Linked DNA regions of Coturnix japonica. The protein of the gene in region 3 interacts with the protein of the main gene of each other region in a pairwise test. Links are inferred from orthologs where the notes say so. Each region holds a gene or a part of one and is shown on either strand. Other genes may lie near its edges.

What was found.
Region 1: the proteins of NEIL2 (region 3) and MEOX1 interact in binary tests that used the Homo sapiens proteins (3 or more experiments, as listed by UniProt). The two-hybrid records come from large-scale screens. The link is inferred for Coturnix japonica from reciprocal best matches to the Homo sapiens genes NEIL2 and MEOX1.
Region 2: the proteins of NEIL2 (region 3) and REL interact in binary tests that used the Homo sapiens proteins (3 or more experiments, as listed by UniProt). The two-hybrid records come from large-scale screens. The link is inferred for Coturnix japonica from reciprocal best matches to the Homo sapiens genes NEIL2 and REL.

What each region holds. Positions count from the first base shown.
Region 1 is NC_029542.1:2,904,091-2,913,983, reverse strand, and holds MEOX1 (homeobox protein MOX-1), read right to left. Parts: upstream 5,585-9,893; 5' UTR 5,322-5,584; coding exon 4,895-5,321; intron 2,237-4,894; coding exon 2,064-2,236; intron 1,514-2,063; coding exon 1,391-1,513; 3' UTR 719-1,390; downstream 1-718. UniProt on the Homo sapiens protein: Mesodermal transcription factor that plays a key role in somitogenesis and is specifically required for sclerotome development. Required for maintenance of the sclerotome polarity and formation of the cranio-cervical joints.
Region 2 is NC_029518.1:5,505,310-5,515,202, forward strand, and holds the start of REL (proto-oncogene c-Rel), read right to left. Parts: upstream 5,708-9,893; 5' UTR 5,572-5,707; coding exon 5,565-5,571; intron 899-5,564; coding exon 756-898; intron 1-755. UniProt on the Homo sapiens protein: Proto-oncogene that may play a role in differentiation and lymphopoiesis.
Region 3 is NC_029518.1:97,933,957-97,943,809, reverse strand, and holds NEIL2 (endonuclease 8-like 2), read right to left. Parts: upstream 7,254-9,853; 5' UTR 7,197-7,253; intron 7,135-7,196; exon of another isoform or gene 7,093-7,134; intron 6,175-7,092; 5' UTR 6,136-6,174; coding exon 5,998-6,135; intron 5,849-5,997; coding exon 5,514-5,848; intron 4,865-5,513; coding exon 4,668-4,864; intron 4,457-4,667; coding exon 4,140-4,456; 3' UTR 4,103-4,139; downstream 1-4,102. UniProt on the Homo sapiens protein: Involved in base excision repair of DNA damaged by oxidation or by mutagenic agents. Has DNA glycosylase activity towards 5-hydroxyuracil and other oxidized derivatives of cytosine with a preference for mismatched double-stranded DNA (DNA bubbles).

The DNA.
Region 1 (9,893 bases), on a different chromosome or scaffold from region 3:
TGCTAGCTGCAAATCTACTTAATAACACCAGTGACTCTTGTAAAGCTTCCCTGACACACCTGGTTGGATGGTGCACTGCATCATCTCCTTGGGAAAACTGTAACGCCTGACACTATTTCCACCCAAAAGGATTTGGGGGTTGGAGGCTTTGATGCCCAGTTGCAAAGCAGCCAAGTTGCAGATGGTTCAGGGTGAAAGCTGCCCAACACAGCACAAGATCTGGGTTGTAGTTATGGGTCAGTATCCAGAGAGATCCCACTGGGTCACTCTTGTGTGAATTAGATTGCTATACCCTTCTGTTAGCAGCTTCTGTGAAAGGGAAGATTTATCATTATCGAGTCATGATGCTTTCTGGACCAGGAGCTGCTGTTGGTCTGTTGGTCACCAAGAGCCCCCAAGTTTTCATCTCCAAATAAACAGCTCACAAACTTCCAGACCCCAGTGGGTGCTGCCTGGGGTTGGCTTAAGAGCTCATAAGGAGAAGAGGAACCCAATTCCAGCTCTGTGTGCCCACACAGTTGTTGGGGTAGTACTAAAGTTATCCACTGAAACAGCTTTATTCAGCCCTTTGATAATCTGTTTTATCATGCAGATATGTAAATTTACATCCAGCAAACCTGCAGACCAGGTTAAAACCAAAGAGGAATGCATCACAGTGAGAAGGAATAAAGATGTTCTAACTGTGCCATAGGTGCAAATAATGGTTACCTTTCAAGTATATGAGAATACTGAAAATCATGTTTAATAGCCATTCTATGACATGCCAGTGTAGAGTTCTGGTTAAAATATGGTAAAATTGCATTAGAACACATTAAACAAAAAGACAGAAGATATGGGAACAGACACTATGCTTTCCTAAAACATAATCATTAATTATATTACAGGTTTGGATTGAAAGAGAACCAGTGTGCAAGAAAAGGAGTGTGCAGGTCTGGGTCCTGTGGTCATCCTATGCTAGAAAGCTGCTTTTATACACTCTTTCAGCTTTGAGAATGGCTTTAAAGTGTCCTGGAATCAGATGGACACTCTCAGAGGTGGAGAAGATCATATATGGAAGCAAACCAGAATGGAAGGATAGGAATGACGCATGGGCCGTTTGGTAAGCATTTGGGAGCCTGAACAGCATTACTCCTGCTATATATACAGTGGTTTTTCTCTTTTTTTTTTTCTCTTATTTTTTTTTCTTCTAAAGGTAACCCTATGGCAGTAAGACAGTCCCATTCACACAAAGCTCAAAGTCCTGCTCTCCTTTGCCTTATTTTGTGCTTTCCATTTTCCTCTACCAGCTCCAGCACTGCGCACTTCTCAGTCCGTGACCCACAGGGCCACCATATGGGGCTGCAGTGTCCTTCTGCAGTGTCACACCCTCTCCAAGCATCTCCTTATGGCACTACTCAGAGCTGGGGGATGTGGTGGAGTCAGCGTCCTCTGCATCGGGCTCAGGGGGGGACACTGGTTGTCCACCCTTAACACGCTTCCACTTCATCCTTCTGTTCTGGAACCATACTTTGACCTGGAGGATGAAAAGGATATAATGAGTTATTGCCTCCAGCAGGCTGATTCCTGTGTGTCGATAGATGTATTTTGAGGAATTCTAGAGAAAAAACTGGAAGGAACCTTCCAGGTTTAAGCATTCTCTATTGAATGAAGGTGTTCCAGGCAGATGTTTCAAAGACCAGCCAGCATAGCACAGTGCTTTGCCTGGAATCCATCTTCATCAGCTATACCTGGCAATCCAAATGGCTCCAAATGGCTCCTCCAAACAGCTCAGGATGTGTCCCAAATGGCTTTTTTGTTTGTTTAGAGAAGCAGAACTGCAAGTATTAACTGCTTACAGAGGTTTTTAATGGATGTCTTTTAAAAGAACATGGAGTTTTCATGTTAAAATCATAGAATTATGAGGCTGGAAAAGACCACTAAAGTCACCAAGTCCAACAATCAACCCAATGCTACTATGCCCACAAAACCATGTCCTACAGAGTAATACACCTCTGTGCCATTGCAGCACAGCCCTGGAGTGTTATAGCATTAGGGAGAAGCAGCAAGGGGTGGGGTTTGAGTACCTGTCTCTCAGTGAGGTCCAGGTTCACGGCGATCTCATATCTCCTCAGCCTGGTCAGGTAATTGTGATGGGCAAATTCTGCCTCCAGCTCCCGCAGCTGCTCCTTGGTGAATGCTGTCCTCTCCTTCCTCGACCTGCTGCTGCCTTCTGCCTTGCTGCTGGAGGGCTGGCTTTCTAAGAGGCAAGCAGGTGTGCAATTTGCAGTTAGATTGATCTGTGTGAATGTGTGCCCTACAGCGATGTCAAAGCGCGTTGTGTCCCCTTGAGCTCAGCACTGTCAGCCTTTGCTTCGAGGGGTAAAGTTGGGATGGGGTGAACCACTTGAACTGCAGGAGCAAGGGCCAAAGGGAGCAGGAGGAGGAAGGAAACTCTCACTGCACCCACTCAGCACTCTTGAGTTTCCTTCCCTGTGCCTTTCACATTGTTCCTCCCCTGATTTTGGCTGCAGACTGAAGGCAAAGGGAGCACTTTGCTGTGAGCACGGTGTGTGATGCAATATAAGTGCATGGTGCAGGGGGAAGGGAAGGTTGCTGAGTGAGCACCATAGGCTGGCATTTGGCCTGAGTACACTGGGAGGGAAAATGAGCAGTGCTGGGGTAGTGGCATTCCCTGACTCAGCACTCAGTCCTGCAGGCGTTCAGCTGCTTGCAAGCTGAGCAGAAACTGTTGGACAAATGGCACTGAGGGTGTCACTGGTCTTCATCTCCAAACAATGTGAATCATCTGAAATAGCCTCTGGGAACAGAGCAGGCAGTGCCCCACTTGGTGTTGAAAGGAGATGTATGGCAGAGAGGCTTAGCTGGCAAACTGCTTTGGGGAAGGTGAAAGGACCACACAATGCAGGATTTGGGCATTTCAGGGGGTTCTCCGATCCCTCAGAGCAGCTTAAGCTCAAGCATGGGGGTCACCAATGGTAACACAGGTTGTTTGGTCATTGTGGTGATCCACAGCCCTGGTGGAGGCACCTGGTGCTTGTTATTCTGCAAACCACTGTCAGTGCAGTTTTTCCCTCAGCAGAAGGCATAATAAAAATCCAAAGTATCTGCATAACGTTGCTTTCTCCCCCTAGTAAAGAGTTTGAGGGCAGATTTATTGCAAATCAAGTAGTAAGATGGATTTTGCTGTCACACGGGGCATAAAATCCTGAAAGCTCTTGGGAACGTTGGCCAAGTGAAGTGACTTCATGGGGAGCTGATTCATTTGGCAGCCAGCGATAAAGTAATAACCACAAGTAACTTCAGTGGGCACCTCATGGAGTGGAGCACACGGGGTGGTGACAGATGGAGCTCTGCCCCCAGATCACTTTAAATTGCTGAGGGACTTCCCTACACTTTTCTTGCTCAGGTTTTCAGTTTCTACCTGCCCTTATGTTCTGCTTTCTATGCCATTGTGGCTGTTAATGGGACCTGAAAGCATGAAGCACCCTCTTTACCCAAAGGCATGACTTAGCAAAGTTGTCAGAATCACTATGTTACTACACATCATTACAGCAATGCCTATTTCTTGCTGTCTTATCCTTCAGCTCATGCCTTAATCATCAGCTAAAGTTGGGGTATCCAAACTGCCTGTCTGCAGTTGGCCATTCTCAACAACATTCAACGTGTGAAATCAGAGGGAGGCGTTTCTTTAGACTCAACCTCCACCCAGTGGGCATCCCAGAACTTTCAGTGCTTATCTTATGCTTTTAAAGGCTAATTTAGTTTAGGGTTAGGGCTTGGAATTTCCTTGCTGCTTGAGTGGTGTTGTTAGGTCTTTCCTTGGTAGTAAATGAAAGATGTATGAAGCCCAAAGTCATTACAACACCTTTCAGCCTCTTTAATGCTGTAATTGCAAAGGGGTTTCTATAAATGCTTTGCTAAATTGTACAGCATAGAATAGAGGGTGGCAGGCACAGGGGCAGCTGTGAAAGCTCCCCCAAAGCCAACTGACATCTTCAGGTCACTGCTGTGCCTGGGACACCAGGGCTGAAAATGGCATCTAAATAATGAACACTGGTAGAGGAAGAGAAGGGGATGTGTGTGCTCACACGTGAGGTCTTACTGCAGATACTCCTATTACTATCACACAGTGAAACCGTTCTGTAGCTGCTCTGAATCTATTGGTTCTTTAAAGAAAGTTTTGAGGATTTAAGTGCATTTTGATCTTTTCTACATCTTAGAAACATTTCCATGTCTTGGCTCTGAAACCATAAAATGGGGATGCTGGAAAATACCCTCTGCTTCTCAATACTCTGTGGTTTGCAAATGAATACTGTAGAAAATGTCTGCATGGAAGCATCTGAATCTTAACAGCTTCCTTAGGAGAAAGCAATGTTCTGCATATTTCACATATCGGGAGAACTGAAATAGTAACAAACCAGATGTCTTATGTCTGTAATTCCTGAATGCTTCAGGAAGAAGGTGCTTTGTTGGCAAGGATGGCACAATGAAAACTGATTGTTTCCCATGTTGCTGGGCATTCTACTGGTGGGCAGTTCAAAACCCCAGAGTGGCATTCCCAGCTAGCACGGGCAGCTGATGGGACCTTAGCCCTTTGATCCCCATTCTATCACCCTTGGACTGCAGCAGAGCAGTGGGATGGATCTGCCATCCTAGGGCTCTGAGCGCAGCATGGCACTGAGTTGGCACTGAGCTGCTGCCTAAAGGGTTGGGTTCAGCCAATAAGGAGCAAAACTCAAACACCAAAGGTCATCAAGGGACAAGCAACTTCATTTCCATTGAGATATTGCATAGTTTTCCCTAGTCAAGAATCACAAAATATTTCCTCCATCAGCTTTACTCCATGAGATATTCTCCCCATCCCACCCCACACCCCCACTTCCACGCCACCTACCTGAGTGCTCCTTTTTCCTTTTGGATCCTTTTCTCTCTGTCTCCATCGTGCTGTTTACTGGCACCTCGTAATCTTCACTTACACCCGCTGCTGTGCTCACGACGTTGGGGCTCTCTGTGTCCCCAGAGGCCAACACCAGCCCTGGGCTCAGCAGTCTCCTGGCCTCTGTTGTTGCTTGCTGCCACTCAGAGTGAGGACGGAAAGCTGGGGGCTGCTCCTCAGGTGGGACGCAGTGGGCAGAGCTCAGCAAGCAGGAGGCTGAGAATTCAGAATAAGCAGCAAAATCCACCTTGGGGTGGAAGGAGAAAGGGGCTGGGGGGCAGTGACCCAACCCTGGGGCTGTGGGGACGTCGGCACCCCGCAGGCACCCCCAGAGTGGGGCTGGGGACTGGGGGCTGCGCATGCAGCTGCCTCCGGTGGGGTTCATCCTCGTCCCACGCTCGTCACTCAGGTTCCTCAAGCAGGAGAGGAGAGGAGGGGAAATGTTTCCAGATTTGACAGCCCAGATTTCCTCCCTAAACGACACTTTGGCTGGGGGGTTTGTGAGGTTGGAGGTTTGTTAGTTTGGAAACTCTTCTTGAGGTGTTCATTGTCCCAAATGGATGGAGGAGGCGATCGCCCCAAACAGAGTCCCAAAGCTGATGCTGGAGTCCTTGTGAAGTGCTGGACATGAGGGAAACACTTTTTAAATACTATGTTGGGGAGAGAGTGACAACTTTGTGAAGTGAAATGTGAGAGAGGGGAGGGAGGGGTTAACGTACACACACCCGCTCCCTCCAACCAAAGCAAAGCAGCACCTATTAATCATCCGAAACCTTATATGCACATCTAATGGGATTTGCAGATGGAGACTTTTAAAGAAACAATGTCTGTATTTTTTTCTTCCCCCCCAAAAAAGAAAAAAAGGGGTAGGGGGGAGGGAAGAGCAGTGCACAAAAAAGGGCTTTAATGTTTCCCTGTGACACTATGAAGTTATTTTTATTGCACTGTTAACAAAATTCCCCGAGTTTTGAGGTTGGAAAAAGCCCTTCATACGGAATTCAGCAGATTCCTGAAGCCAAGAAGCGAAGTGGGAAATAAAAGTAAGAAAGCACTTCACTGATTATTTACTGATTTAAGGCCTGGTTGTAACGTTTTGTTTTAGGTGACTTTTGTGCACGTGCAAAGTTTTGGAGGGATTATTGTTCTTTTAGCTCGGTAACACTTGTATTTGCTGATGGTTACTGCTGGTGGCAGTTATTCTTTCTCTATCCTACTTTATGCCACTCCTTCCTACAAGGAAATCTGCCTTTGTGCCAATGTGAGACGTGTTTTTCATCTTTTGCTGAAAGTTTTATGGTTCTTCTTAACACAAAGCAGATTCGCAGACCCCGGAGCTGCCGCTGCTGCTGCATGGGTGTTAGCAGGGAATCTGCTCTCCATCCCTCTGACACAGAGGGTTGGCACCTGGGAACACCCCAAATATCACTGCAGGGCTGCACTGGGGTTACTGCAACTGTTTGTGTGTTTTTAGGGGTAATTTATACAGCCACATGTGCTGTGTTTCTGTAATCTGCTTGCGACCTGCTCCATTGCTTTGCTATGCCTCCCTATAGGTGTGCGCCTCTTTCCCTTTATCCCACCATTTGGGCTGAGTTTGTGCTCTCGTAGACACAGAGGGATTTATCAGATGGGCACAGAGCCTCCGTTTTTCTTTCTTTAAGTGCTTTAAGTGCTACTTTTATTTGGCTTCTGTATAATTCAGAGTTGTGACATTTAAAGGAATCAAATGGAGGGAGAAGTCTGCTCATCCCAATCCCTGCTGGGTTATAGCTTGGGCTTTTCCAAGCAATCAGGTGGGCTTAGCCCAGATCTTTCTGATCAAGAACATCACCTTTTACCTTCACATTAATGTGACTCTCTTGCAAAATGCCAAACACAAATCATCCTCCAGGAAGGGCTCTCCTACATAATTCAATCTGTTCAGAGAGCAAACATTCAGACACGTTTCCCACTGCCTGGCAGGAGGAAAAAGAACAGATTGCTCTGTCTGGAAGGCCAGGTGGCAAAGGATGTGTGGATATTTTGGGCACCAGAAGGGTCCATGGTATAGCCTAGAGTGGTTTTGTCAATGCAGAATATTTCACTTGTGTTCACCCACCGAAGTCATGCTGGGGTAGTAGAGATTTGCATGAGCTCAAGCCTAGGTCTGTGTTTTCCAGCCCTACTCCCAATTCCAGCTAATTAAACAATCGTCTACTTCTCATTTATGTCTATGCATGAATTTTGAGGGAAATAAAAGAGAAGGGAAGTTTATCTGCCGATGTATTGTTCCATTTATCCAGGAGAAGGTTCAGGTTCCGTGCAGGAATCCCATGGGACCCCAGCAGGGCTCTGTTCATGGCACACAGTTCAGTTCTTGCACATCACTTTGCACTCTCAGTTAAACTCGGACCCCTTTTTCCCCACAGAGCTCTTTCTGTTGTTGTTCCTCTGACTTCAGATGTGGGAAAAGGAGACGGCAGACCCTCCTCAAATGTGGGAACCCCCCAGTCCCGCATTGCCCCAGCACTCTCTGCAGCTGCTGCTGTCACTCAGCAGCCCAGCGGGGGCTTGTTTGCCCTCTGCATCTTTCTGACACTTCATTCCTGAAGGAAGCAAAAACAACATCCCTCCCCTCTTGCCCAAGCCCATTTGTTGGACAAGGCAGCCACCTTTAACCTCTGCAGAGTCAACATCTCTTCTGCCAGACCCCAGGTTGGTTGGGAAACATAGGATTGATGGGTGCCATAGGCTTCAAACCCAGGAACAATTAGGAACAGTTTCTTCTCATAGGGCTGCCCAGGGGGGTTGTGGAGTCACTGTCCCTTGAGGTGTTCAATAACCATGTGGATGTGGCACTGAGGGATACAGTAATGGGCATGGTGGGATGGGTTAGGATCTACATAAGGATATATCTACATAGTAAGATCTGGGTTCAGTGTCAGACTCACATATCTGCAGGAACAGTAACCACTGCGTGTACTGAAAGCTGCTGTCCCAATTTATAGAGGCTGTTGGTTTGTAGGTATTGAGGATGGAGCTGTCTGCTCCACCATGTGTAAAGATGGTGGCTGGAGAAATGAGAGTGGGCACATGAGTAGTAAGCAAAGGGATAAACACACAGAGAGATGGAGCATGAGCAGGAAAGAGGGGAAATCGGGTCCTGGGGGGGCTTCACTCCACCTGCAGAGGGCTGGGGCTGAAAGGAAATGCCAAGGCCAGAGATGGGCTCTCTGGGTTCATCTGTCAATTTTAATAGTTTTCTCAGCATCCTAAAGGAATAAAAGAACAGAAAAAGTGTAAAGTTTGGGCTAATCGAGACAGTGAACCTGGGAGGGAAAGATGATCTCCTTGAAATGAAAGCTAAAGAGCTGTGTGGTTAAAGAGCTATATTAAAAGACATTAGCTATTGGACAAAACGTCAGGAAACATTAACTTGCATTTTGCTGTAATCCCCTATGGCAAATTAGTCTGGTTTAAAAGGCCTGGATTTGCAGGAAACCAGTATGAGGGTTTTTATGGTTTCGGGGGAGGAAATGGAGTGAGAAAGGCTGTGTTACCTCTAGAAAAGAAGTGGTTTGTCATGGTGATATCAGCTGTTTGATAGATTCACCTCTCCAAACTTCTAGGAATGGGACTGGTGTCTGTTTGTAGGCAGAACTCATGCAGCAGTGATGTGACCTGGGGCCAATCTTACTAGAGAAAAAGCCCCAAATATCTTCTGAGGCTGAAGTATAGCACATACCCTGGGTTACATGGCCATTCATGCTTTAAGCCTGGAAGGATTTTGCCGAAAAACATAGTAAAATAAGTTTAAACTGTATATATATATAATCCTATCATCTGTTGTTCGCCACATTTTCATCCTAACATCACTCTCATGCTTTAGCTGCAAAATCCACAAGCAGATGAAAGCAGGTTCCTATTGCATCTCCTGAGGTTTGAGGCAAACACCCCTGACTGCTTCTGCACACGAAGGCGACTGGAAAGGAACAGCAGTGGAATGAGCATTTCCCTCCCCAACACATAGGCTGAGAACAGTGAGCAGCGACTGAGAGCTACACACGTCCAAGCAATGTTTTGTTAAGCAAAGCATGGACATGGGATTTGTGAAGCTGTCCATCCCAGAGATTAATGCTGGATCTGCATTTCTGTCCAACACAGTCAGTGCAATGGCAGAGAATATTGAGTCTGGGTGATCTTGTGCTTGATACATTAATTAATCTGGATGGTCTCTTTGCTATGGTGCTCTTAAAAGCGTTATCTCAGGGGCAATCTTAAGAAAATACTTCAGTTGGCATTGATTTAATGACTCGAGCTTTTATCCTCCACCTCCTATTTCAGCTGTTCTGTTCCAAACAGTTGACTTAAAAAGGAAGGGAGAAAGGATGGGGTTCTGTTACTGAATTCATTTGGAAGCTTTGCTGTCTCCTCTTTCTTCCTATTGCTTTCCTTGGGACTCCAGCAGCAGGAGCAGTGAGAGCAGCATCACATTTGTTCCCTATTTGCCCTCAGTTATGTTGAGCCATTCGCAAGCTGCATCTGACTACCTGCACTCATTGCTCTCATACCTCCAAAGAGACTGACAGATCTGCTTGTTGCATTTGCCCTTTCCTTTCTTCCAAAGCACACCTCTCATTTCTCAGCCTATTTAATTTCCTACGAACACGAGAAATACGGGTGATTAAACGCTCACTCTGAATATAGAACTTTTCAGAAGAGCTCATAATTTTCACCTCTGCAAATGATGAAGAACCTGGCAATGCAAAATATGGTATTTTAAAATACTTTTTTCTCCTTTTTTCCCCCTCATTCTTCTTCTTTTCTCTTTCTTCTTTCCCCCCTCTTGTTTTCCCCCATCTTTTTCTCCTCCTTCCTTTTTTTCTCCTTCTCTTTATTCTTTCTCCTCCTTCTTCTGTTTTCCCAGTTCTTCTATATCTTCTTCTTTTCCTCACTCCTTCCTTTTTCCTCTTCTTCT
Region 2 (9,893 bases), about 92 Mb from region 3:
CCTCAGTTCTGCATATGAAAGAAAACAACAGCCAAAATCCATACTGTCCATATGTTCAGCCCTGCTTTGATCAAAGATTAGTATGAACCCCTTAATTCTGGATTTCCCAACCTAACCATAACACAGTCATCCAACTAGTTTTCATTGCAGGTGCTCTCACCATTTATTTCCTCTTTCTCAAATCCTTTTAAAATTCTGTATCCCTTCTGATTTCACACACTTCACAGTGGTTTCTTTTGCAGAGCCTAATCACTGAATCATCTGCTGCAAGTCACTTTCTCGCTTTGCTCATTTGTACAAAGTGTTTCTTCCCACTTTACACCCAGCACCTAGACTGGCCTTTTCACATCTTGTAAGCAGACAACTTCCTTCAAAACTCTCCCAAAATTCACATTACAATCAAAATAGTAAAAACAAGCCCAAATCACATCACTAAGGAACTAGAACAAACGTAAATGCAGAAAGAGTTAATAACTCAATGATTCCTTAACAAATCTGCTAAGTTCCTTTTCTACTGGCACTTTGCTACATATCACTGTGGCTCCTCCTTCTCTGGTAAATGGGAACAAAATCTTTAATGTCTAGAAGCAAAGAACTCTTTCATGCTGCACTGCAACTACATCTGCATGCCAAGGAAAGAATAACAGAATATGTAATGAAAACCATTTTATTTACTGCACCAAAGACAACATGTAGCTACAGCACAATGTAAACATGGGCACTGGTAACTTATGGATAAAAGTAGTATTAATTACCTGTATAGATGGGAATGTCTTGTTGTTGTCAGTACTGTGTTCTCCTGGAATGCTCCCTGCTGATCTTCCTTCACATTTGTATCTGAAACGCATGCCCCTCTGCCTGGGCTGTTCAAATATTTCAATGTAGGGCTCTGAGATACCTTAAAACAAAACAAATCTGTTTAAATTTAGAGCTTAAAAAGAAGCAGAAGGCAGGCTATATGGTTAAATGCTATGTGAAAACTGTAAGGTCTCCACTCTTTGACTGATATTATTCATCTTTCACTTGATTTGTCTTCTCAGATGATAAATGTTTTTTAAAACATGAATGCACATGATAGGGTAAATGGTGTTAATAGACATTACATTAAATCTCCAGGTATCAATGCCATATTAATAATAAACAGGACACCCTCCCCTCCATCTCACCCAGAATTTTAGATTCTTTTAGCTTTTAGAGAGCACGTATCTGATGAAATAATGTTTCATACAACAGAATACACCATTTCAAGAGAATGGTTAACATTCTTCATTATTATAATACGGTTCTCTCCTCAAAGTTCGGGTTCCATCAATATTATGTTTGCTTGAATGCCCTCTGAAAGTGAAGATCTTTTCTCAGTCCATACTGATTTAGTTCCTATTATATTGAAGCAGAAACTATGCAAATCAGGAAAGGAAGAAAAAAAAGTCTACTGGTTTGAATACCATCACTGTGGGCTCAGAAATTACCTGATGGCTTGTATTGAATTCTACAGCTTGAGCTGCCCACACCCCACAGGGCCAGCTATTAGTCGCAGTAACTCTCCAAATCACTTACTGAAAACTATTGGGTCTCACGATGTTTTCAAACTTGAGTTACAGATGAGAATGACAGACAACAAATCTCTTCAATGAAAGGTTTAGAAAGACATTACCTTAGCAAAAGTATCACCACTTTTATAGCAGTGTGACTGCCAGGCAGTAACTAGCTATTTAATGTATCTCACTGTGAACATCAAACAGGACAGTCAATCAAATAGTGACAACAGTGAGATGGCATGTGAAAAACAAACAGCAGAGGATAAGTAAATATTGTAGAGGTTGAATCATCACGGCTCTGCTATGATCAGAAGAACACAGCTTATGGAAACATCTACTGAGCTCTCTGTCATCTTTGTATAATAGCATCCTACTCAGGCGAGGCTTGCGAACATCAGAAACACAACAGGCAATGTGAAAACAGCACTCAGACTTCAACATAAAAAGCAAAATAGTTATTAAATATATTGAAAGCATTAAAAGGGTAAAAGATTCCCTACTTCCTTTTGCCCAAGGTCTAGTTAGCCTAAGGTACTTAGTATATGAATTTGTCAAATAAGTGGATTACAGTCTTAGCTCCATAATGAAACCTTCTCGTTTGTTGCACCTACAATATCTGCCAACACAAAGCTTGAACTTTATGACTGGAGTCTGCTGATTTGTAGAAGATTTACGGTGCTCCAGCAGTTCACACCCCAGATCAGAGGAGATATTACAAAGTAATTAAGTAGAGAATGGGAGAACTCCATTTCTGAGATGTTAGCTTGGTCTTATTTGAACACACATTTCAGCCACTACACACTGACAGACAGCTGTGCAATAGCAGAGTGCGAAAGCTGCTCTGACACCAAAACTGCCTCCAACAACACATGCCTCTTCAAAAGGAACACTTTCTTAAAAAGCCATAAAGCATTTCAACTCCAGGTTGTGTTTTGTTCCAAGCATTAGAGAAGAGCAGTTTAAGACTCTACACGTTCTTTTATAACAATTTACCAGAATGCAGTATCTCAACTGATCATCTACTACTGATTTTAAACCAGCGTCTCAAAACAAACAAGGAGCTGTCACATCAAGCATGCATAGACACTGCTCAAGGTCCAGTTCCTTTACAGGTATGGCCACTTCCATAGGCACTTGCCAAATCTTTTCTAGCCTTCCCTTTACGTAAGCTTTGTTCCTTTTCTCCTTCTGGAAAATAAGTGATGCCAGCAAAAGTGGGTATGATGGACACTAGTAACAAAAAAGCCGAGACATGACATAAAGTTGGTTTCAGGAGATGAGAAGTCTGAGTTCCCAGAGCCAAGCTCACTCCCCAGCATACAGCTTTATAACTTCACTCACATTTACTTATGTTATCCTGTTCAGGACAACCCAGTGGACAAGGCAACAGGCAACTTCTGCCAGCAGTGAGGAGCAATGGCAGCGTACCAGTCAGCCTCCCACTTCCATCACGTAATTGAAGAGGGAGAAGAATCTCACTTCTCCATTCCTACGTAACACCGTACCACAAACATAGACACATATCCATCTACTAAATTAAAAATCTATTTTAGACACTATAATGACAAAATTGTAGCAAAGTACCTACTAATCATCTTACTTTGGAGGTACACATGCTTACAAAGCTGCTAACCAGACGCACCATACGCCCACGTGTTTGCCAAGACGAGGCAGAGCCTTTCTGTTAGAAGTTACTGCAGAACAGAATCGCTTCAAGTCTTTAATCCTCTCTGCTTTAAGCATCAATTTCCCATCGTGCTCTACTAACACTTGCTTATGAGGACTCTTTTTCTTCCCTGTTCAGAGCACTTTATTTTAAAACTCTGTGCTCAACGATTGTGTTGGGACTGTGGTTGAAACAAGTGTCACTGAAAGCAAACCCACTGCTTGACTGCAGGTGTGTGTCTGTGGAAAAGCAAATCTGTGACACGGCAGCCTCCAGAGATTAAACATTCAAATTCATTTCAATCTTGGTTCTCACTCTCTCTGTTTAAGTATCACATTATCATCTCTACCACAATTGTCACTGTCATTATGTTTTCTGCATAGAGGAAACACATGAAAGTATCAGCATGAGCCAAAGGTATTATCAGCACTCTGAAGTGAAGTGGAGGTCTGTTTGGCGTTCCCTATTTCTGTAAATGAGCAATGTGCTTGTGAAGTGCTGTGGTTTAACTATTTCACAACCTACACTCGCACACAGAGAGCTGTCAGTCCTTACAGCTTACTAGCTCCTTTCCACACATTTGTCAGACCACTACGAGCCATGCCTAAGGCTCTCCTCCTTCACTAGTTTTTGAAGAAACACACAGCTATCTCTATTACCTACTTGCTTGTTGCCCCCATGCTCTGAATTCTACAATAAACAATTTTAAAGGAAATACAAGAGACCAAATCTCAACTACATAAAGAGACTAAGTAAGGTCAGTAATAGCACCAAGAACACAGCCAGCTCGTGCTCCTATTTAAGCGTAGAAGGTTGCTTAATCTGTTAGAGTAATAAGAAAGGAACAACAGACTCAAAGACCTCTCCATGATGAGTTTGAAGCTAAACATGGCTGTGCCACCAGGGAGGAACACGGCTGTAAGACACTACCACCAGAAGGACGATGGGTCCCGTCCGTCCCATGTTACTCCTTGGCTCAAAGGAATAATGCTTCAGGAGGACTATATGATTTGCCATTCTCCTGCATGACCAGGAGTAGTACCCTGTGAACATACTCTCCAGCAATCACCAAGCTTGAAAGCAAAGCAGCTGTGGGTCTTTGTGGGAGATGTGAAAGTATCACCCGAAACTCTGATGATCTCAGGTGACAGCAGTGAAACACAGAAGCAAGAAGTGTTGCCCTTCAGCTTTGATGTCACACCTTCTTAGAGATTACTGCTGCCCTTCTGTCCTCCACAGCAACGGCCATTTCTGAGCAGCAGCAGCAACTGCCTGCACATTCCTGCCCTACTTGCACTCAGCCTCTTAGAGGAACTCAGGAAGAAGAGTTGGTGGAAGGTTTGTCATAGAACACTCTGCTTCAATCTCATCTAACCCCAAGCGCACTCACCATTTTATTTTAGAGCAGTAATCCACTGCGGAACCCATGAACCGCACAGATCGTAACACGACAACAAAACGGCTCACTAACTTCCTCTTTACTATCGTACGACCTTACAGAACAACAACCAACAGAGAAAGAAAAAAAAAACAATGACACAAGCTGGCTAGTACCAGGAAGTTGTGAACTTCCCCTGCTGAAAAAATCCTTATCTAGTTCCTAATTACACTGAAAACACATTCAGGGCAAGAAGAAAGCACTAGCTCCTGCTTCAGTTCAGCCTTCTCAAGCACACGCTTGACAGGAGTGAAAGTTTGTACTTTGCTAAGGGTAGCAGAGCACACAGCGCTGGTGCTGAGAGCAGAGAGCCTCCTTCCCATAACGCCAACTAATGCTGCCCAGCCTGAAAGAGACAGCTAAGGAACACCTTCTGAAAGGGCGATATGTGAGTTTTAACTTAGCCTTAAAAAGATAAAACCAACAACCTGATTATGCTTTTAAACGTAATTGCCCAAAGAAGATCCCTTATCTCTGTTGCTCCGCACTTATGACATGTTCCTTACGCAGCTGCATCCTCCCGGCAGCGAGCGCCCACGGGACAGGCACCGCATGGCTCCTGCCTGCTGACGGCCCTGCCCCAGATCCGCCACACCAGCACTTATTGAACACCCAAACGTTTTTAGCAGCACCGATTTAAGAATTCTAAGCCCCGTTCTGAGACGTGACGGTCTCAGGACGGCGTCGCTGCCACCGATATGAACATCCTCACGATATTCCTTCCTCGGCCGGAAGCCTCCGACGGGGTTCGGCCGGAGGGAACGCGACGGAAGAGGAGCTGCTCACGAACAGGGCGGCAGCCGGTCTCAGCGCTGCCCCGTGCCTCCCCCGGGGCCGGCTCCCCAGCCGTGCAGCAGGGCGCTGCCTGAGTCGCGGCCCGCTCCCCACCGCCGCCCCGCTCTCCGCCCGCCCCGCCGCTCACCCGCCATGCTGACAGCTCCGCCGCCGCTCGGGCCGTGCCGCCGCGGACTGCCCTCCGGGGCCGCTCCTCACACCGACGACACCAAGCCCGCTTTCCCCCCGCCCGCCGCCCTACTCCGGGGGGAATTTCCCGACCTGGCGCGGCCCGCCCCCTGCCCGCCCCCGCAGCGCCTGGGCCTGCGCGGGACGGCGGCTCGGCCTGGGCGCGGTGGAGGAGCGGTGCGAGCCGGGGGCTGGGCCGGTCCGGCTTGGTTCGTTCGATTTGAGACTGGAAGGACACAGCTCGGTGCTGCCCTAAACACAGCACTGCTGAATAAGCTCAGACAGAGGCACCTGGGGAACTTTGTTCCTCAGAGCAGAAGCCCTGTTCATAAGGAAAACGATGTTACAAGGGTACACGGCGTACGCTGATGTGGAAGGCAATTTTCCAAGCAATAGAACCGCCATCTGTTATGACTAAAACATCAGTACCCAGTTCTTTTGATGTGTAAGTCTTCGGGCCTGCAGGAACAGGCTACCAGAGGTATTCCTCAGGACTACTTCAGAGACTGAGGAATTAGCTAACACACGGCGATATCTGTGACACTATGACACGAGCTGTTGCTTTATGGTTCATTGTGGTCTTATTTTTTAAGGAAAAGTTAAGAGAGGTGTACTTCTTCACGTCCAAAAGAATTCAATTCAATCTATATTCCTCTAAAGTGAAAACAAGCTTTAATTAAGCAAGAGTAAAGCCAGCAATAGAAGTGCTTCACTGTGTCAAATCTATTTGCACCTACCAATGGAATACGATGGATTTGGCTCAGGAAATCCCTGAACAAAGTGACTGGAGAAAGGACAGGGCAAGCGGAAATTTCTTGCCCATTTCTCTCTGTGCAGTAGTAGACACAAATAAATGCATAGCAAAGAGCATATCTTTGGGACAAAACAAACCCAGTGTAGCTCTTTTGCCATATGCTTATATTCCTAGATGAGGGGAAAGTTGCACAGCAAGAGAGAAGCCTTCTAAGGCAAAAGACCAAACCAAATAAATGAAGCCCTACTCAAAATCATGAAAGCATACGATGCTCTACTCCAGTGACAACCCTGTACAGTTTTACTCTGCCTCAAGCTGAATTTATGGCATGGGATCATCCCCATGAGAGTGACGCAAACTTGGGAAGTGCAGGGTAGTACTAGTAATCACAGAAACCCAGTCAGCAACTGACAGAAAGCTTAAGAACATGTCATAACTTTGGGCATGTGCAGATCTTTGCAAATAGGACGGAATTCCCCTCCTGTAGCATTGCATAACAAAAGCCAGGTGCATCACTTATTTTTGTCAGCTGGCTATTGTGTAGCCAGAGGCAAGATACCAGAATTCTTAGACCAGTTTGATCCAGTGCTTCACTTCCTGTCTTCCAGTTAAAGTGGTTTATGATCCCGTTTTTCTCCACTTATCCAAAGACGAGTCCTCGCTCCTGCTTTTTTTGCTTTCTATCAGCTGACCCTGTTAACACTGAGACTGCTGTAAGAAATTCTGCAAGGAATTCAGCTTCCTAATCTGGCAGAGAATCATAGAACGTCTCAAGGTTCATCAGATTCCAACCCTCTTGCCACAGGCAAGTTTGCTAGCCCCTAGATCGAGTAACAGATCAGATTGCTCTGGGCCCCATCCAGCCTGGCCTTGAGCACCTCCAGGGACAGGGCATTCACAGCCGCTCTGGGCAGTTTTAGTACCTCACCACTCAGTAAAAAACTTCCCCCTGACATCTAGTCATCTAGATCTCCCTTCCTGTAGTTCAAAACCATTTCCCCTTGTCTTATCACTATCTACCTGTGTAAGCAATTGATTACCCTCATGTCATAAACTGCCCTTAAATACTGGAAGGCTGCGATGAAGTCTCCCTGAAGCCTTTTCTTTCCAGGCTGAACAACCCCAGGATGTTAAGGGGCAGCAAGAGAAAAGGACAGAGTGGGGGAAAAAAAAACAAACCCAAAAACAATTCCTACAGCGAAAGAAAACAGAGTGATTGACAGGATACTTGTCAACCCTAAGATAATGGCCCTTTAGTAATGCTTAGCACAGGCATTGCATAATCAAGTCTGCTGAAGCCTGCTCTGCCACCGAGCAGCAAAGGCAAACTTAAGCCTTTATTTTCTCTTCCCAGCTACCTGAAATATCAAAGATAAGCCACTTGTCACCAGCCTGATTAAGTATGCAAGCAGGCATTAAGGCACTTACAGAACTAGGCTCTCCTAGTATCCATAGTACTATGTACTATGAATAAAAAGCATCAATTTTAAAAATAAATATCCTGACCACTTATGGAACCACGTTAGAAGTCCTGCTTTCTTGACAGATATTTCATGTCTCACACACTCCCCTGAATCGTAATTTCCAGCCATGCCTTTTGAAAAGTTTTTATTGTTTTAAGCATGTGTTGTGTGGTTGTGTTTTGGTTTTTTTCTTGTTTCTAATTACTATTTTTTTTACTCTCAAAAGCCTCTTATTTAAAGACTGGCAGGTCTTTTAGTGGTTAAAGCTTTTGTGGTTATTGCTCCTGCTGAGGAGGGTTCCAATGCAGAAGCCATTCCAAGAAAAGTCATGGCTTCCAGATTAATAATAAACTCAAAGGTTGTTCCAGCCATTCTGCTGGGAGCACTCCTGTATTATGCTTTAAATTTGTTTGACATAGAACAATGCTACTGTTCCTCGCCTCAAAACAGGGTGGAGAGAAAGGAAATGCTACAAGGGAAAGGTTGGTCTTGTGGATAAGGCACAAGGCTCTGACTCAGGAGACTGGAATCTGGCTCTTGGCAAGTCAGCCCTTCTGCTCTTAGGCAAGTTGTTTAATTCTGAGCCTCAGCTTCCCCAACAGAAAACAGAAAATACTTCCTTGCTCTCACACCATCTTATTCATTTATGATGCAACCTCACAAGGAGTGAGCTGTTTATTTTAAAATCATAGAATCCTTAACGTAGGAAGGGACTTCTGAAGGACATCTGGCCTAACTACCCTGCAATGCACAGGGACAACACAGCTTCATCAGGTTGCACAAGGTCTGATCCAGCCTTACCTTGAACGTCTTCAGGGACGGGCATCAACCACATCACTGGGCACTGGAACCAGTGCCTCACCACCCTCAGTATAAATTACTTTTTCCTTATATCTACCCAAAATCTACCTTGAAACCAATTCCCTTTGATCTGTCACCACAGACCCTGCTAAAGAGTCTGTTCCCTTCTTTCCTGTTGCTCCCTGCTAGATACTGAAAAGCCACTCTTAGGTCACCTCACAGCCTCCTCTTCTTCAGGCTGAACAGCCCCAGCTCTCTCAGCCTGCCCTTATAGGAGAGGTGTTCTATTCTGTGGATCATTTTCACGGCCCTTCTCTGGATGCACTTCAAGAGGTCCACATCCCTCCTATCCCGAGGTGCTCCAGGTGAAGCCTCACCAGCACAGAGCAGAGGGGCAGATTTCCTCCCTCACCCTGCTGCCCACACTGCTTTTGATGCAGCTCAGCATACAATCATCTCTCTGGGCTGTGAGGGTATGTTGTTGGCTCACATCCAGCTTCCCATCAACCAGTACCCCCAGGTCCTTATCAGCAGGGCTGTGCTCAATCTATTCATCCCGCAGTTTGTATTGATAATGGGGGTTGCCTTGACCCAGGTGCATGATCTTTCATTTGGATTTGTTGAACCTCATGAGGTTTACCTGGGCCCACTCTTCAGCCTGCCTATGTCCCTCTGAATGGCATCCTATCCCTCTGGTGTGTTAACTGCATCCCATGGCTTGGTGTCAGCAGCAAACTTGCTGAGGGTGCACTCAAACCCACTGTTGATGTCATTGATGAAGATATTAGAAGTATCAGGCCCAGCACCGACCCCTGGGGGACACAACTCCACTCAAACACTGAGCCACTGACCACCACTCTCTGGACTTGGTCCTGCAGCCAGCTCTTCATCCATTGAACAGTCCACCCATCAAAACTCTAATCCTTATCCATGAGCACTGAGCACAATTACACTACACTTCCATGAACACTCCTAGACTGTGGTGGTATCAGAGAAGCACTGGGTTGACCTGCAGGGAATAACAATCACTCATTCAAACCTTTAATACAAGCCGTTTTTTTCCCCTTGAGGGCTTGCAAAAGGTGTTATCCACTTAACACCCATTTTGGAATGCAAAATACACAGCCAGAATTATAAAAGAAAAATGAATTGTTTAAACATAGAACGACTAGATACATCTTTCAGTTTGAAGTTTTTCATGACTTATTTTTAAATCTCTGGTCCAGTGACTCACACATCATATAATTCAAGGATTACATCTAGGAATCAC
Region 3 (9,853 bases):
TCATTACTAGGTGAAAGCATGGCTCTCCTGGGATGACAAAAGGCAACAGGCAGGGACAATGCGCAAATCTTGGAGGTAAACACCGTTAAATTTGGCCTTTTTTCCCCCCTTAATTAACAGCTATTTAACAAAGTGCAACCTGGGATGTAGCATGAGCTGAATGGCACTTGGAACACGACCTGCATCCATCACATACTGCACTTAAGTATTCAATCCCTCTTCCTCATCCCAGCCTATAGAATTATAGCATCCTCAGCTTCTTCCAGGTGTTGAATTCAGCTCCACGGTAACGTGACTCTGCTTCTCCATTTCTGCCCTAGCTGCAGCTCTGCCATCCCCAGACGAGGTCTCCCACTGTTATCTTGTCTTCCTGCTCCTTAATCCTTGTGTTGCAGCTTATTGGGATCATGAAATCTCCTTGTCCTGAGGGCTCAGAAACTCCACACCTGCCATCCTAAAGATGTTGCTGCCAGGTATATGCAACCTTCATGCAGGGATTGCTACAGGTTGCAAGATGTGTTATTGCTTGTTATCTTAATGCCTGTATTAGCAGACAGAGCAAGCAAGGAGAAATAGAAGTTCAGCTCCTGGCTCTGCTTTCCATGCAACCTGAGCCAAACCGCTGGGTTTCATTGCCTTCCTGCAAAGCAGCCTGCAGACACTTCACAAATGCTGGATATAACTACAGGGCAGTGGCCAAAATACCAGCCCAGGGTTGGGAAACCCACAGACAGCCCAGTGTTAGGGCTGGCAATGTGCAAAGCTGCACGGCTGCAAGCACAGAGTGAAACCTACAGCAACCTCTAGGTTTAACTACTAACCTGGCTTGGGATTAAAAAGATCTGTATTGAGAAGAGCCATTTTGCTAAGAATATAAGGAAATAGGGAAAGTGTGAGCACAAAAATCTCAAGGCAAGCTGAGTCTTGCATCATCTGTTAATATTACCACGTGAAGATTTGCTGCACAGGTTATCAAAACTTGTAAAGCAAAAGTGAGCACAAAGCAAACCTCTGTGGCAGCTTCAGATGAAGCTTTGGAGGCAGCTGATCCCACACACCCCTTCCTGCAAGGTTCAGCCCCATGTTTTGTTGGCTGTTTCCCCCTGTGCCTCTCCACCCCTCCCAGCCAGGCACCCAAAGGCAGCTCTGAAGCTGCCAGGACACACATTCCCAGGGTGTCACAAACAACACGCTGCCCAAGTGCTGCATTTAACCATCTGCTGGCTGACAGCTTGCAATGCTCGGGCTGAGGAACACAGGAGCTGATAGGGAGCAGAATGGAGGCATCGTGCTTGAGCAGCTCTGCTGGGATAACGTGCATGCTTTGCTGCACGTAGTAGGGCAGAGCTGAGCACCTCCTGGAAAGCTTTGCTCAATGTGGTAGAGCACTTCCCAGTGGCCCAGCGTAGCATGGACACCTCCCACCCAATACAGCCAACTAGTGCTGGTATATAAGACACGTACATGGACACCCCTGGCCATCAGCATGAACACCTGGTGGCAATGCATGGACTCCACACCCCCTGCTCAGCCCAACCGTGCACCCCCAGTATTCAGGGCCATTGCACAGAGCCTAAAGCAGCTCAAACATGGAGCCCTGATGCCTGGGGATATTGCATAGCCACCTCCTGCCATACAAATCAAGCAGCCACAGCATTATGGGGACACTGTACAAACTCCACAGCTATCTCAACACCCCCAGCACTATTACATGATCCAAACTTGCTGCTATCCCAAACACCCCAAATGCATGCAAATACTACGGACACCCAGATCTGCTCAGCCACGCCGCCAAAGAGCCTGGGGACACTGCATAGAGCCCTCCTACTATCACAACCCCAGTGCACGGGAGCACTGCAGTCCCCCCTCGACCACCCCCCAACCCCACTCACCGCAGCTCTCCATCCAGAGCCTGGATAACGGCGGCGAAGCTACGGCTGGTCTGATTGAGGTAGCGATAACAGGTACGGAGTCCGAGTCCCAGCGAGTCCTGCGGGCACAACGGGGGGTATAAGGCGGGGGGCTGAAGGCGAACGGCCGGGGGGAGCCCGGGGAAGGCGGCAGAGCTGCGTTGTCCCCTCCGTCCTCCGCCCCGCAGCCTCCCCAGCGCCGTGCGGGGTGCGCCCCGAGGGGGGGACAGAGCCAACGTGCGCTTCAGCAGAGCCCTGGCTTTGCTGCTGGCCGCCATGGGCACAACGGGGGGGTGGGGTATGGGGGCTGGCTAAGGGAGGGGGCTCCGCCCCGAGACCGGCCCCCTAAGAGCGGCGCGCCCCCTGCCAGCACTGCCATGCGGGTAATGCGATGTACCGGGAGCACGGGGAGCAGGGGGAAGCGGCACGGTGCAAAAAGCGGTGCGGGGTACCCGAGTGTCAGGGCTGATACAGAGCATGGGGTGCTGCTGAAGGGCAGCCCGGCTGTGGGGTGCTCTCAGCGGCTGTGATACATGCAGAGCATCCCGGCTATACAATGCTCACAGCAGATGTGATACATGGAGAGCATCCCGCTGCTGTGCGATGCTCCTAGGAGCTGTGATACATGCAAAGCACCCTAGCTATGCAATGCTCCTAGGAGCTATGATACATACAAAGCATCCCGGCTATACAATGCTCTCAGCAGATGTAATGCATGAAAAACAACCCGGCTGTACGATGCTCCTAGGAGCTATGATACATGCAAAGCATCCCGGCTATACAATGCTCCTATGAACTGTGATACATGCAGAGCATCCCAGCTGTGCGATGCTCCCAGCAGATGTAATGCATGCAAAGCACCCCGGCTATGCAATGCTCTTAGGAGCTATAATACAGGCAAAGCAACCCCGGCTATGTAATGCTCCTAGGAGCTATGATACATGCAGAGCATCCCAGTTGTGAGATGCTCCCAGCAGATGTGATACATGCAGAGCATCCCGACTATACAATGCTCCTAGGAGCTATGATACATACAAAGCATCCCGGCTATACAATGCTCACAGCAGCTGTGATACAGGCAGAGCATCCCAGCTGTGCGATGCTCCTTGCAGTTATGATACATGCAAAGCACTCCGGCTATGCAATGCTCTTAGGAGCTATAATACAGGCAAAGCAACCCCGGCTATGCAATGCTCCTAGGAGCTATGATGCACGCACAGCCAGAAGCAGGAAGCTGCTGCAAAGCACCGCGGCTGCGTGCCGTCCCAAAGAGCCGCGATGCTCCTTAGCATTGCGCTGCTCACAGCCCATGCGATGCAATGGAAAGCCCAACCCGGCGCAATGAAAGGAAGCTGGTGATGCTCATAGCAACCGACCCCCCCATAAGCACTCACCGGGTCCATACGAGGCATCACAGCCCGGTACCCGCCCATCTTGAAGCGCAGCAGGTGGTAGATGTCCTCGGGGTGCCCCAGCCATTTCTTTAGCAGCTCCATCACGGTCACACCGCCACCACGCGCGCTCCCGCTCCCGCTCCCCGTGCGCGCTCCCGACGCCCACCACCTCAAACCCCCCCCGCTTAACAGCCAATGGGCGGAGCCGCACCGCCCCCTTCGCCAATCAGCTCGCTCGTCCCATGGCTCGGTGAGCGTGAGGAGAGCTCATTGGGTGACGTCTGCTCGCACCAGCCTTGCGCCAGCCAATAGGAGAGCGGCGAAGCTGGTGTGACGGCCGGCGGAAGGAGCTGATTGGGCGACGGCGCCCACCGGCACTCGCGTGGCCGAGAGGAGGGGCTTAATAATGGCTGCCCCGCCTCCCACCTCATCTCAGCCCCCTCTTAGAGCATCCTCGGGGGGTCCTTATGGGGTCCTATGGGGTCTTATGGGGTCCTATGGGCTCTTTATGGGGTCCTATGGGGTCCTTATGGGGTCTTCTAATTAACTTAACGACGGGTTTTAATGAGCACTGCCATCCTTACCAATGGGACACACACAGATCAGAGGTGGGCAGAGATGAGCAGCACCGAGCGCTGCTGAGGTTTGTTTTCAGCCTTTGGAAGGAGGCTGCTAAGAGCTGATGGAGGGAACGACCATTTAATTGCAACCACACCTGGTCACCGTATAACGTACACCCCATTGCTGTATAACGCACACCCATCTCTAAGCAGACAAGGGATTATCTAACACTGAACGACACAAGACCTTAGAGAAAGACAGGAACACAGCCACGTCACTCATCACCCAGAGCCAGATCCCCACCCCCTGACAGCACAGCAGGCTGGCACTCAGGACACCACCATGTCAGCCTCTTCCAGCCACCCGGGGCTCCTAGGGCTGCTTTCATCACCTTGTGCCCAAGAGGACACTGCTCCTTCTGATAGATGTGTAGGTGCAGCCCTTTGCCTTGCAGCTTGCTCTGCAGCCAGTCGGAGGTGAACCTGATGGCACAATCAAGCAGGTGCTCCAGATCCGATTGAGCCAAGAGAGATCCTTGTGTTAAAGGATGGATCTTAGTTAGGTACAGGACTTCGTTCTTAATGATGTTGCCTGCAAAGGGTCAGAAATAAGGAGATGGGAAGGATGTTACTATTCAACACGATACGATTTCAGCCTGAAGGTCCACCAAAAGGACTGTGTACCCTCTCAGCAGATCAACCCAACATCATAACATTAAAGATTAGAACTTCTAACATGCAGATCCGGGTGTAGGCATCCCACCCTCCCCTTCCTTGCTTTGCCACTGTGCTCTGCATCTCACCCAGCCCTGAGAAGTATCTCTGGTCCAAGAGGGTGTAGCAGACGGGATGGGATGTGCGGAGGGCATCCAATGCCCGGCCACGGTGGAACTCTGCAGACAGGATGTCAGAAGTGGGATCAGCCACTGGAGATGAGCACCAGTGCATTCGGCAGTTGTAGAAAGCAAGGAAGCCTCCACTCTCAAAATACAGCACCAGCCTGGGAGAAGCAGAGGAGATCATTAGCCACAAACATCCCTAATCCATTTGTTTATATTCGGTTCTCTCCAGGCTTGCTGAGAAAGCAGTTCAGCTTTTAAGGTTCTAAATCTGCACAACTCATGGACAGTTATCCCTCCTGCTGCCTTGGAGGCTCTGAAGACAGCAGCAAACAGAGATGATCCCTACAGCCAGTTGCATGGGAAGACGTACAAGTAGATATTGAGACTCCATAACCTCAAATTAAACAGTTCATAAGAGCTGGGTCCACACTGTCCTTCAGTATTTACCCCTTGTTAATCCATTTCCAGTGCCTCTTAATACACCACCTGTGACCTGGGCTCCTACAAATGGTCTTCTCACTGCTGTCTCTTAGATGCATGCTATTAATCCAGTGATTATCCAGTATAATAATAATACAGTGAGTCTAATAGTCAGATGCTGAGGCTGGAGTAGGCAGAGGGCAGAAAACCTCTTACTAAGGGAACAACACATAACACCAAGACAGTGAAGCACACCCAAGGCAAACCAACCAGTGATGACTCCCTGGTTGAACACGACTCGCATCTACTTAAGACACACAATGTCACCACCTTTAACACCAAGGGGAAAGAAGGAGGAGACGGACAGAAGGAGGGACTGCCAAATACCTGGGTGTAGGGTCCTTCCAGTCCCCCCTCTTATTGGCTCTGCTTGCTCTTGAGAACTCATTTGCCCGAATGCTGCCAAACAAGCCAAAGTGGAAGCGCAGCCAACTGCCTCCCAGCTCCCCTGCTGCACTTGGGGCATCAGCTCTGGAGTCCTGCAGTTCCTGCAGCTCTTCTTCCTGGGGAGGAGTCGATTGAGTGCAAACCTGCTCTTGTTTTCCCTGAACAAAGGAACTAGATGCTGCAACAGCCTGTTTTTGCAGCACAGTCTCCTCCACGCTTGGTCCTAAGGGAGAACTGGCTGCCACAAATGCTAGGAATAAGTTCTTCCCATGGACCTGGAGGGGGAAAATAAATAGATAGATAGAAGTGGGAGGTACTGATGCCATTCTCAGACCATACACCTTCATGCACAGATGCAGGACAGCTGTGGCTTCTCTCTCAGACCAGCCCACAGTTTGCTATGGTCATGCTCAGCACAGCTCACCTGGGAATCCTGGAGCCTCAAGGCATTCAGGTCATTCACATTAATCTTCTTGCTGCTTCCCCCCACCTTGGCCACCACTTGCCCCACAAAACGTGAGGTCAGCAGCTGGAACTTCCTCACTGATGGGCCCTCTGGCATCTCTAAATGGTTCTCCTTCTCACACTTGCTGCCCTAGAGCTGAAGGGAAACTTGCAGCTGATAAAAAGAGCTAAAAAACACAGGGAAGCAACAGCCCACAGCAACTGAAACTAGAGCCTTCAGTGGGGCTTGCTTTTGCCCCTTCCAACCCATCTTCTGCTTGAGCAAGGACACATCCTCACCCACTGGAGCTCTCAGCCCGTAAGAGGCAGAAGCCAGCAGCCACCTACACAGGGTGATGAGCTGCAGTGGGGTGTGGATGTACCTCAATAGGGCTGGGCAAGGCAGCACAGCTATAAAGCCTTGCTGCAGTGAGCCAAAGCCTTTTAGTATGTCAGAAAACATTATCTGGATCTAAGACATGAAATAAAAAGGTATTAACTGGTTATACAAACATGATTGCTTTAGCAGCAACAGAAGACTGAGCTTAATCCCTGCGCTTCCTAGGGCAGGAAGTAATCAAATCACACCTTAGCTCCATTTAGCTCCATGCCACATTCAGACTGCAGGCAAAAAGCCAGTAACAGGTCAAGAGCCACCTAGAAGACATGCCTGCTTCTAAAGGTGCCAGCTGCAGTCCAAATCCTTGGGATCAGCTCTTGATACAAAGGGCTCTGCCCATTTCCTTCACGTCTTTACCCCAATTATCCAGGCACCAAGCAGCACAATACAGGGAAGTCACCCAACACCTTCACACACAATGCAGACCCCCTCCATCCCCCAAAGCAAGCACTCACTGCACATTCCCCTGCCCCAAATGCTACACCCAGCCCCCAAGCCATTAACCTGCACACAGCAGACTGAGCAGCCTCCTCCCCTCTTCCCTATTCCATTGCCAGCTTTTTCTACCTCATGCTCTTGAACCACTCCCTTGCCTTCAGTCACTTCACCAACACTCTCAACCCACACCAGCACTGCCCTCTTCCCATCCTTTACACCCAAAAAATCCCTTCTTACACTGCTACAAAGAAAGCCCTTCCACCCACTAACACACAGCAATAGCTCCTCCACTGGCTGCTTAGGAAGAAATGAGTGAGGTTTCAAGTGCTGGCCTCACCCACCTCACCAATTACACCAGGACCCAGAGTCTGGTTGAACTGGGAAAGGCTCTAAATGCCCTACCAGGCAGAGGAGGTTATTGTATGAGGGTTGTGTGCACTTTCAGCTTATGGGTGGCATCTGTGGGCTCAGCTGAAAGCCATTAGGCTAAATCAGCAATGTGCTCCACAAGCCCATGTCTGTGAAAAGAGCAAAAAGATGAATTACGATGGCATGAAGGTGCCCTCCTAGCATAGGAACTCATCCTTTTCCCTCTGTGCTCAGGGTGGAAAACACCTTGGGGTGTTTTTCTCCTTATGCATTAAAATAAGCATTGCTTTTCCAGGTACGCTGTATACACGTTCAATTACCCCCAATCCTCCCCTGGAAGCCCACCAGGAAAGTCAAGATTCAAGCAGCAGCCTTTTGGTTTTATTATTATTGTTTTATTTCCATTAGTTCTAAAGGTGTAGACATTACGTGGATTGGTAGCCATTACTACTTCATAACATAGATATTTTTTACATCTTTAAATAATTACAGCTTGTTCAGTTGGTTGCTTTCCCTCTTTCCCCCTTACAAATCGGTGTCTGTTTCCATGGGACTTCCCCAGCTGACATGGGAATCTTCCAACTTTATGTATGAGAAAAGAACAAACCAACTACCCAAACCAACAAACAAAACCGAACGCCACCCCTGGCACAGTCACAGCTTCAGTCATATTAACTGCTGTCGTATTCAGTTACATTGAGAGTTGTTGATTGGTTTCGAAAGCTCCCTTGCAATACTCCTGAGCTCCTCCTGATCGGAGAAGGTGTCTGATCAGCCCATGTAATTGCAAGTGAAATATGGATCTCTTTGGATTAATTTATCAAACAAAAAACATCAATGCAATTCAAGATATTGCACTTTCACAAGGAGGAAAGACATTTAAAAGTGATAAATGACCTTTCTACCCCTTCCTCTCTCTCCATCCCAGTTCTCATCTTCCCATCTCGTCGTGGAGCCGTAGCAATGATATCTGGTTTGACACAACCCAGATGTGTGCTGGCATCCCGGTTTATGTGTATGGTTAATGCTGAGCTTTAAGGGAACAACTCCTGCAAAGACGTTGGTAGATGCGCTCAAGCGTTTTGCAGGACCAGGCTCTTTGCTCTTTCTCTTCAGGGAAGAGATGGTTCTCAGCTCTGTACTTTGTGTGTGTGTGTAAATACACAAATTCAGGCCTATCGTTGTGTGGTTGATGCTAGAAGGGACCTCTGGAAGTTATCTGGCTAGTGGTCCTCAGCTGGACATCCAGACATGCTGCAATGGAATAAATTGTAGCAGTAATAATAGCAACTCTTGTTTTACTATGTAAGTCTCTAATACTTGTATTTTATTTCATTAACAAGGCGGGGTCTCTGTGCTTCTCCTATCAGTTGAAGGAAAGCAGAGCTCAAATGTAACCCCAGATTTTCAGGTTGAGCTGAACTTCTTGGTAGGACTGCCATTCTCATGTCCTCTAAGTATCCCTTCATGCATCATTTCTGCTGCTTCATGCTTTGTTGGCAATCCGAGGTGCATCTGAACTTCAACTGCTTGTAAAAGGAGTGGCAAAAGAGCTCATTTCTACCACGAAAAGGTTGAGCTGTCCTTGCAGCCCATAGAACCTCATGAAAGCAGATGTCTTGTTATCAGGGTCTTTGTAAATGCTCCTCAGTGTTCAGTTTTTAAGGCTGTGTGGGAAGCAGAAAACCAGTTAGCCCAACTCTGTCATTTAGGTAACCTAAGGGGATGTGAGCCAGGGAATCACCAGACTTAATATCTCACAGGGTTTTTCTGCTTGGCATTGCAAGCAGACTCCTTTAGGGCACTTAGGAGTGTGTTTTATGGACAGGAGAGAACTTCAGCCAGGAATTTTGGCTTTGAAGACAACACAAGGAGTAAAAGGGCAAGGCAGAAAAAGCCTTTGGGAGCATAAGCACTGAGGGAGAAATGCTGCACGTTTGGTCTGGACCTTTGTTCCTCTCCAGGAGGCTGCCTGCTTCCCTCCTCCTCGGGCTGACCAGGTTAGTTTTAAACATCTGAAATGTGTGCATGAGCCAAGAGGCACCTCTGGGGTGTGTTCTTCTCTGTCACAGACAAGATCACAGTTGCATCCCAAGAGATCTCGGCTGAGGAGTTCAAAGCAACGCAGCACAAGGAGGAGACTGACTAATGTCCTGCGTGCTCTTGGAGAAACACCTTCATGTTTTCTTTCACCCCAAACTCAGGTTCTTAGGTGCTATTTCTGGCCTCTTCTCTGCAGGCTTCTGGGCTTCAACAGAACCACAGGATTTCAGGGTAATGTTTTATTAGTGTTTCATTGAACGTCTCTTCCTTGTCTGTAGTTAATAAACTGATGAGTTTGGACCTTACATTAGCTCTGAAGGACAGAGTGTAAATTCTGTGGTTATCTTGCAAGTGGCAGATGGAAAACCTTCCCAGGTCAGGAGTTTCATTCCCATAAGCCAGCTGAAAGGCACTCCTCGTCAATGGGAAGACCACACTTCTTATGGGGAAGCTCATTGAGGAGCCTCAAGGTGCAAACACCTTCCAGACAACCCCATGGCTTCACATCTCCAGGTGAGTCTCTATCATCCCTATAAACCCCTGCAAATCTGAGTTACTGAGCAGAGCAGGGGCATTGTGGAGGGGA